2 linked regions of the Kluyveromyces lactis genome follow. The protein of the gene in region 1 purifies or fractionates together with the protein of each later gene. This does not show direct contact. Links are inferred from orthologs where the notes say so. Each region holds a gene or a part of one and is shown on either strand. Other genes may lie near its edges.

What was found.
Region 2: the proteins of RTR1 (region 1) and RPO26 purify together in Saccharomyces cerevisiae (affinity purification with mass spectrometry; 3 studies listed by BioGRID). This does not show direct contact. The link is inferred for Kluyveromyces lactis from reciprocal best matches to the Saccharomyces cerevisiae genes RTR1 and RPO26.

What each region holds. Positions count from the first base shown.
Region 1 is NC_006042.1:1,171,780-1,176,761, forward strand, and holds RTR1 (RNA polymerase II subunit B1 CTD phosphatase RTR1), read left to right. Parts: upstream 1-2,284; coding exon 2,285-2,920; downstream 2,921-4,982. Other genes in the region: KLLA0_F12628g (NAD-dependent succinate-semialdehyde dehydrogenase), read right to left, coding at 1-131; EMP65 (Emp65p), read right to left, coding at 453-2,027; RRG1 (Rrg1p), read right to left, coding at 3,033-4,175. UniProt on the Saccharomyces cerevisiae protein: RNA polymerase II subunit B1 C-terminal domain (CTD) phosphatase that dephosphorylates 'Ser-5' of the CTD and regulates RNA polymerase II during the transition from 'Ser-5' to 'Ser-2' phosphorylation.
Region 2 is NC_006038.1:313,183-317,206, reverse strand, and holds RPO26 (DNA-directed RNA polymerase core subunit RPO26), read right to left. Parts: upstream 1,375-4,024; coding exon 1,355-1,374; intron 1,224-1,354; coding exon 767-1,223; downstream 1-766. Other genes in the region: MLC2 (Mlc2p), read left to right, coding at 191-655; PZF1 (Pzf1p), read left to right, coding at 1,774-3,192; serine/threonine protein kinase regulatory subunit ATG13, read right to left, coding at 3,343-4,024. UniProt on the Saccharomyces cerevisiae protein: DNA-dependent RNA polymerases catalyze the transcription of DNA into RNA using the four ribonucleoside triphosphates as substrates.

The DNA of each region.
Region 1 (4,982 bases):
AACTTGTCGTCAGTTTCTGTCCATTTACCGTTGATAAAGGCCTTGGTTTGTATCAAATAATCGTTCTCAATTTTAGAAGACATCTTTCTTAATAGGTTTAGCGTTCTTAGGGTATTCGAGTTGCGGAACATCTTAACTCTTGGAAATAACACACTCAGCGACTTGACAATTTGTTAGCCATTAGGATCGCCGTTTATATACAAAGTTCTGCTCTTATTGCTTCATGCTTGCTCTTAATAGCAAAAAGTGCGTCATATTAAATGTTATATAATATCCATTATGTAGTGTAGAGATGATACACTATTTAAGGTTGGAAAGAGGAGACGGAGCCGAAGTTAACATCAGCATGCATCAAATTCTGATAATTCTTATTTAATCTTGCTATGCTCGGTCTATATATTGCTGTATAATCACTACATTTTGCTATGCCCTTTGCTTAAGGCACCTAAATATTACCAAATCCTCTTTGATACCATCTTGTATCTTTCAACGGACTCTAGCGATTTAGGATGCTTCAGATCTCTCTTGGTTCTTTGCTCGTTGAGGCTAGGTGGGATGCTTGCCTTCTTTTCAAAAGCAGCGAGTTTTGGCGATCCTGGTGGTGTAATTGTTGGTGAATAAGTTCTTGTCTGGCTAGAGTGTGTCATTTTGCGGGCATCCTCATCCATCATTCCTCTTCCAGCAGAGAGATGGCCATTGATATACAAAGGATCTGGGTGCAAGCTGGCTTGTTTGTTTTGGATATGTAACGTCCATCTCAACAGTATTGCTTGAAGTGTTAGCTTTGTGAGTAGAGCCCATAGGAATCCAAATATTATCAGAACAGTGGACCAGATGATATTATTCTTGATCGTTTGCCTGATGGCAGGCCATACCAGTACTAGGAAGGCTACTATTAGTGGCGGGAACGGCAAACCTAACCTCTTTTGGAATTGGATACTGTTGGATAGGTTGTCCTTGGAAAGAATTTGCAAATACCTTTCATAGATATGCGCTCTGATTCTGTTGAATTTGATAATATATGCGTGCTTGATCCAATCCACTATCAATTCACTTCCAATTACTGTGACAATCGGCCCTATAAATATACCAACTATCAAGGACTGTGTAGAATGAACATTCCATGAGTGTGGTAAAACATCGCGCAAGCTCTTTCTTGCTACGATAAAGTTTCTCACTGCAATGACCGTTAGAAATACGATCAACTGGAATCTTTCCACGACGTCAGCCATAGTCAATTGGAACAATCCTTCTTTATCAATTCTCTTGAAAACTGCAGATTTTAACTCTGAAAACTGCATTGACAACAGTAGCGTCCATAAGGAGTTAGAATACGAGTTTACCGCAACGTTCATGGCAAGAATCTGGTAGATGTATATCAACGCGTGGAAACTTAAACATAAACAACATGCAATATATAGCATTACCATCTCTGTCTTATGTTTGGCACTCTTCTTGAGCATGATAATTGAATATAGATCAAGGCCAACACTTGATAAGAGCTTTTCTGTCATCTCAAGAACCTGAAATATCATGTATAGTTTAATAGCATTTTGGCCCTTAATTTTATGATATATTCTTGAGGTGTCAAGGACATTCAATATCGAACAGGGTCCAAGAATCATCGCAGTAGTAAGAAGCTCTTGTCGTATTCTTTTAGGACCATCTCGTTTCACCACTAATACATGGAATACCCTAAGTGGTATAATGGTAAAGTAATACAAGAAGCAGTTCAAACAAGTCAATATCGCAAAGACAAAGAATTGCTCGACTTGGAATGGTACCCTCAGTATGTTCGCAATCTGCTCCAGATCATATTCAACAGACTTCTCACTCTGATCACATGGTTCCTCTTCGAATACCTTGGCTGTTTGGGGAAGAATCTCCTGGTATATAAAGTTCTTTATCGATGATGACACCGTATTCACGTCTTGTTCAACCGATACCCTTCTCCCAGCACCAGAACTGCTTTCCTTAGACCTCGCCTTTCGCCTTTTGAGGTGGGCTTCAGAATCCTGTGAACTCATTTGTTGAGGCACAACTGACCGGTTAGTGCTAAGGACCTTACTTCGTCATGGATATTTCTTTCTTCTGTTGTTGTTGTCTGCTCGAATTCGATCTACATTGAATTAAAATAAAGTCCTTGCTTAAATCACATCGAAGGGTTGATAGTGCCAAAGTAAAGAAGGTAAACTTAAGAAAAGCACATGAATAAGGGACCTCATACAGCTGCTTGACCAACTACGACCGTGAAATAATTTACCAAAATAATTAGACTATAGCAATGGCTACCATTGAAGAAATCAAAGAGGTTGTATTAAAACCCTATACAAACCATCGACAATTGACCATAAGGGAAGTGGAAACTATAAGTATCAATTTAATAGACTTATTGATTACAAAAGACGTGAAAGATGCAAGGACGATGAAATACATTTCAAGGTTCCTTACCAAACAGGATTATGCGGATCTAGTCCAAGAAAGGAACTTGGTGAAGCGTTGTGGATATCCACTCTGTAGCAAAAGCCAGGCGAGAGTACGTGATCCCTTCGCAGATGTACAGATGACCAATTTCTTAAGACAAAATAACCCATATGCATACCTTACAGAATACTGTACTAAGGCTCATTTTAGATGTTCACAGTTTTACCAGTTTCAGCTCTCAGACGAGGCTTTGTTTGCTAGGGTCGGTGTACATCTTGACGATTATGAGCCACCTAGTGAGATACAATTGCTCGAAGAAGTACTAGCTAGAGAGTCTGATGTTAAGCAGATGATTCGTGGTATGACTGATTTGAAACTCGCGGACGATGATAGTAGAGAGGAAATGGAAAGGGATATCAGTGACATGTTAGCTGATATTAAGATCGTAGAGATCAACGAGCCAAATATCATTGGAGATTTAGGACGAGATAGATGAAATGACAGAATGATGACAAGTACAAACATATTTGAGGTAGAGCATTTTGACTCTATAACTCAAAATATATGGACAATCCTGCATTATATAGTCATACATAAAATAGTTTTATTTACGATTTAACTTTCACTAATTGATCTGGTCTAAGGAACCTCCATTTAACAAGCAAAGCACCTAAATTTTTCTCTTCGGTAAATGGGTTTGTCGTTGGTAACTCTGCTTTCAAGCCCAAGAATCGTTCAAGCCTTTTTTTATAAAGTCTTTGGTTCAGTTGTTTATAATATTCATATTGTTTTCCGTCAATTAAGTGATCTCTACTTTCGGTGAATTTACGCTGTGTATTAGCATTTATCCGGTTGAGAATGTCCATATCTTCGAGGATTGGTTTTATCCAGTCGATGAACACTGCAGGGATGTCATTGGACTTACCACTCTTTATCTGTGTCACGACGTCATTGAATTTTCGTGAACATGGTTGTTTGTGAATCAATGTATATTCCCATTGTGCTTCTTGAAATGCATAGAAAAGTTTGGATTCACACTCCCTAAATCTATCGAGATTATCTTGAGCTCTAAGCCGTGCCTTAATTATGATTCCTGTCAATTTCTTAGACTGGCGTGCCTTCCTATTGAATGGAGATCGTATGAACCAAATTCGGGATTGGCCAGCGTTGGTGTAGTTAATAGAAACTTTAGGGGGGCCCTTGGCAATGCGGTACTCAATCCTGTACAAAATTTTACAGTATCTCTCGTGGATTGCAAGAGGTCTGAGTAGCTCGTCGATATGTTTACGAGGTATCGTTTTAGTCGGACCATATATTTTATAATATCTAAGAAGGTAGCGGTATAAATCACCATCACCAGGAATAGGTGCTAATCGCTTCTTTTTTTCCCTTCGACTCTCATCCCCCATATTTTCAGTTACCACCACACCAGAAATTGGTTTGTTCGCTTGCTGCAACGGTTCTGGAGCAGGCTCGATCTGCTCTGTGTATTTGTTCTTTAGAGCAACTAGCTTGATTATATCATCGCCGACAATATACTTATTCAGATGAGAGAGATCCTCCAATAATCCACGTACGTACCAGCCAGCTTTATGATTTCTGTTACGTCGTACTGCTTGTCTCAATGTGTTCCAAAGCTCAATCTGGAGATTATCAGTGGGTACGTTGGCCCTAATGTTTCGTAATGAATATCTGTACCATTCCAATACGTGTTTCCTATGACTTCCTATCTCTCCAAATGGTCGTACCATTGATATAATTCTGCTTTGTAGAGCTTCATCAATTTGATAAGATTGAGTAGGATGTACCTTGAATTCTTCCTGTTTTCAACTACTCATCTATTCATGTCATCGCATCTCATCTCATCTTGACAATAGTCATAAACTTTGAAAACATACAGATCAGCGTGCTATACATGCTTCGTATGGTGCCGTGTGAGACGTCATTTTACAGCAAAGTGGTTTCGTGGTCTAGTCGGTTATGGCATCTGCTTAACACGCAGAACGTCCCCAGTTCGATCCTGGGCGAAATCATTTTCTTTTTAATTTTTTTTTTTTGCCTCCTGTGTACTTTAAGCAACAAATCAGCAACAAATTCTACTACCAAGCTACACACAATATTGTTTGATTTGTAAACATTGTGGTTGCCAAGTTTCGGTTGAATGACTAGTAGAGCATTATCTCTATCCTCGAACTCCTTTTCTCATTTTATCACTTCTAAAGTCTCTTTATGTTCCATAATGATGCAAAACCATAACAATCTCCGCTATATTCAAAGTAACAGTGAGGAAGAAAACGACAATTATCTAAATCAGTTGTGGTACGTGATTATTCATGACACTCACTATAAATCATCCGAGCTACGCGATTACTGTTTCTAGTATTTCTCCAGCCCTGTTGCGTGCTGATCACTTCAGAGAACAGTCAAACTCCCAAAATTTGACCTAAATGGCTTCGTGGTCTAGAGGTATGATTTCCGCTTAGGGTGCGGGAGGTCCCGGGTTCGATTCCCGGCGGAGCCCCTGTGTGTTAAACACTTTTTATTTTTTTTTAATTTAA
Region 2 (4,024 bases), on another chromosome or scaffold:
TTAGTTTTTTGTTCGAAATCTAGAAAAGTTAGAAAGATTATTCACTATTTACGTTTTAGACATATGCATCTGAACCAAAAAACACAGAATAGCATCTCGTTACAGAGACAACGGGTACTTTAGCAAATAAAGGTCAGTGTTGGATCTTTATATACATTGGAATAGTGAGAACAAGTTTACTAGCTTCGCGATGAATAAGAGTAGTTCGGTCACTTTTTCCCAGTTTACACAAGAGCAGATCAAGAAAATGCAGGAAGCATTCCAACTAATAGATGACGATGGAGATGGAATGATATCAGAATCAAATCTTGCAAAGATGTTGAGAGGATTGGGTAAACCAGATAATAAAGAAGATGTGGAACAAATGTTAAGCTTAGCTCCTGACGAAACTTTAACATTTCCAGCGTATCTGTCGTTAATGAGCGAATGTATGGGTGAAATGCCAGACCCAACCGAGATCAGAGAAGCACTTAAGGCATTCTCAGATAATGAAGAGCTCTTGTGTGACTCTGCTGAGCTTGAACAATGTCTAAAGGACGTCGGATTGGAAGACCCTGCGAAACTGGATCGTGTATTGGCACACTTTTCTGCGAAACAAGTATCTGGCCGAAGAGTATTTAAGGGAGAAAAGTTCGTTCAATCTATCAGTGAATGATTCGCAGTGGATATATCTAAATTTACAGTGTCTTTTCATATATAATATACACATATATTACTATTAATATTTCTGGGGTTTTCTATTTTAAAGATGCCTATGGTATGCTCTCTACAAGTCCACGATAAGTTCTTCAACCGACCAATCTTCGAACGATCCATCAGGAAGATATCTTCTGATGACCAATGGTATCTTCTTCTCTGCTAATTCTTTCATAGCGATTCTCAATGGGTCGGTTTCACCTTCCAAGTCAACGAACACTGGTGCGTTCATAGATATTTGCAAGGCTCTGGTACCTAAAATTCTGGCTCTTTCGTACTTTGTCATGTATGGTGTTGTAGTTCTATCTTCCTTGGCGATAGCCTTCTCCTTCAAAGTTCTTCTCCGACGAGCCTCCTGTTGCTGGAACTCTTCTGGACCAAATCCTCCAGCAACTATCGTGTTCCCGTTTTCATCTGTGCCTAATCCGTTCTCATCGCCAAACTTACCCTCGCCCTCATCAAATCCGTCGTAATCTGAGAAATGCTCTTGGTCAAAATCTTCATAGTTCTCTGGACCGTCATTAAATCTGTATTAGATAGTTTGTGCTTGAATTGACATTCAGCAACGCATACTCATCTAGTTAGTAAAACTATTCATGAAGACAACTTCTACGAAGAAATAATAGGGAAAAACACCTATTAAATCGCTATAACATACGCTCCCTCGTTGTCTGACATCTTTATCTATCAAGATGCTAATCCTTGATGCCGCTGATCAACAATAAAGACCTGGATAAGACAATTTATCGTCCACATCGTGTTACTGTGTTACTCGCTAGCTCATTTTCATTTGAAGCTTTTTCCAATTTTTCCAAATTTTTCAAAAATCGATTGTGACAGTAAAAGAAACGATTATCAACACTTTTCGAGATGAGGTGGTGAACTGTATGAATATGTTACTGGTTCAGCCCATTTATGGTATCCTATTTGTCTTGCTTGCATTACCTTTGAGAATCGCTAGTAGTACACAGTTACTGAAGTTCTCAGAAGGAGGTGGTAGCTGCTTCTTTTCCCTGTCTATTCTGTATGATTATTACAGTTTTACGTCCCTAATTGAAAATACAAAATAAGATTCAAATGAAATTCATAGAAAAAACCCAGGCGATGAGGTGCGATTGGGTAAGGAGATTCACGCCGATACACGGAATACCCAACCGAGTTATGGACTATTTAGGCAACGTTGTAGTAGCTACTGATGAATCTGTGATGGTCGCGCCGACATACAATAAGGAAAATGAGGTACGGCAGAATGTTGTTGGTGAAAACGATGATGATCAACAATGTTGTGTACCTACACCGCCGCTAACCAGATCAGAGTCCATGGATAGTGTTATGAGTATGGCCAGTGTGACTAGCACTGTGTCAGTTTCATCGTCACAGCGTTCTAAAGTATATTTCTGCGATTATCAAGGGTGTAACAAATCGTTCACAAGACCGAGTTTGCTCACGGAGCATCAGCTCACCGTGCATCATGGAATCAAACCGTTTAAATGCGACACTTGTGGCAAAGAATTTGCGAAAAAATCGCATCTGAATAGACACATGTTCTCTCATACAGATGATAAACCTTTCACATGTTCTATATGTGGGAAAGGTGTCACAACCAGACAACAGTTAAAGAGACATGAAATTACACATACGAAGTCCTTCCACTGTTCATATGAGGGATGTAACGAATCATTCTACAAACATCCACAACTCCGATCGCATATCTTGTCCGTTCACGAAAAGAAACTTACCTGCCCTCACTGTAACAAGACGTTCCAAAGGCCTTATCGATTGAAGAATCACATAGATAAGCATCACAACCCAGAATCTACCGGAATGTACCAATGTGACTTTCTTTCATGTACCGACGTATTTTCCACTTGGTCTTCTTTACAACAACATATTAAACAATGCCATCCGAAATTACCATGTCCTATTTGTGGGAAACCTTGTGTTGCTGAATCAGGTTTACGGAATCATATGATGATTCATGACGAGAGTTTGGTCACTAAGAATTGGAAATGTTCTTCATGTCCAGATACATCATTTGCGAAGAAAACTCAGCTAGTACAACATTATGAAGAAAGTCACAAAGATGTAGATCCAGAATTGCTATTACTGCCGACGGACGCTGATGAAGATACGAATATTAAAGTGAATACAGATATAAAGATATCAGAAACGGAGGACAGTTTTAGTTCAGGGAAAAAAACGTTACTTGATTTCCCCTCTTTCTCAAAGAAACGGAAAGTTGACGAGCTTGGATCAGTTGAAGCAGAAATAAAGATAAAGAAGTATATTGAGTCAGGGAAGACAACCAAATCATTGTTATTGAATACAGTGGGTCAGAAAAGAAAATGTCCATATACCAATTGTAACAGAACATTCAAATCAAAAGAAAAATTCGATACTCATATTGAAAAGCACAAGATTCATGAATTAAAGATGAAGATTCTTGAGGACGAGAACCAAAAATCCTCTAAGAATGACCACGCTAGGAAGATTTAAAAAATTTCAGGTGAAGTTTGTATGTGATGTTTATATCTATATATATACACATATATATATTCAAGTATAAATTATTTATAAAATGCATTTTTGAAAGAATGGTTTGAGGTCGTGAAACCATTGTATTAATATTAATTATTGATGTCATTATTAGTTGGTTAGATTCATATCACTCATAACAAATAACAAATCATCATCTTCATCATTTTTTTGAGAGCTATTATGATGTTGCGAGCTAGTATGCGGTTGTGCTCCTTCTGTGTGCAGTGGGTCGGGGCTCATTTCACTCTTATGAAATTTTGCATGGGTAGTGGTAGCCGATGTTGTAGGGTGAGAGAGGTTGAGATGTTTCAATGGAAGCTGGTTTCTTGGGTAAGAACTTACAGAAATACTTCTTATAGATCTGGGCGACCCCATAACCTGCTCAGTAGTAGATGTTCCAGCGTTAAATGAACGTTTCATTAACATTTCATCCTCATCGTCATCTTTATTTATGGTTGCTTCATTGCTGAAGTGCATTCCTTTCATGTGAGACTGTTCGTCCTCTTTAGAATCTTCATTAGTCGTTTCCATAGTTCCTACAGAACCTCTCCTGTTTATGTCAACGTTGCTTCCAGTTCTGCTCAATAGATTATGCTTGTGTCTATCCAATGAGCTTTTCCTGCTGGTAATCAATTCCGCATTACTATTGTTTCTACTACCTTGAGATAGCCTGGAGGGAATGGAACCATAATTTGGTGAAAATGAAGGTATTGGAGAATGTGAATTTGAGCCAAACCTAACATTAGGCTGGTCGATGGACATACTCATCGAAAGGTTATCGCTAAGAGCA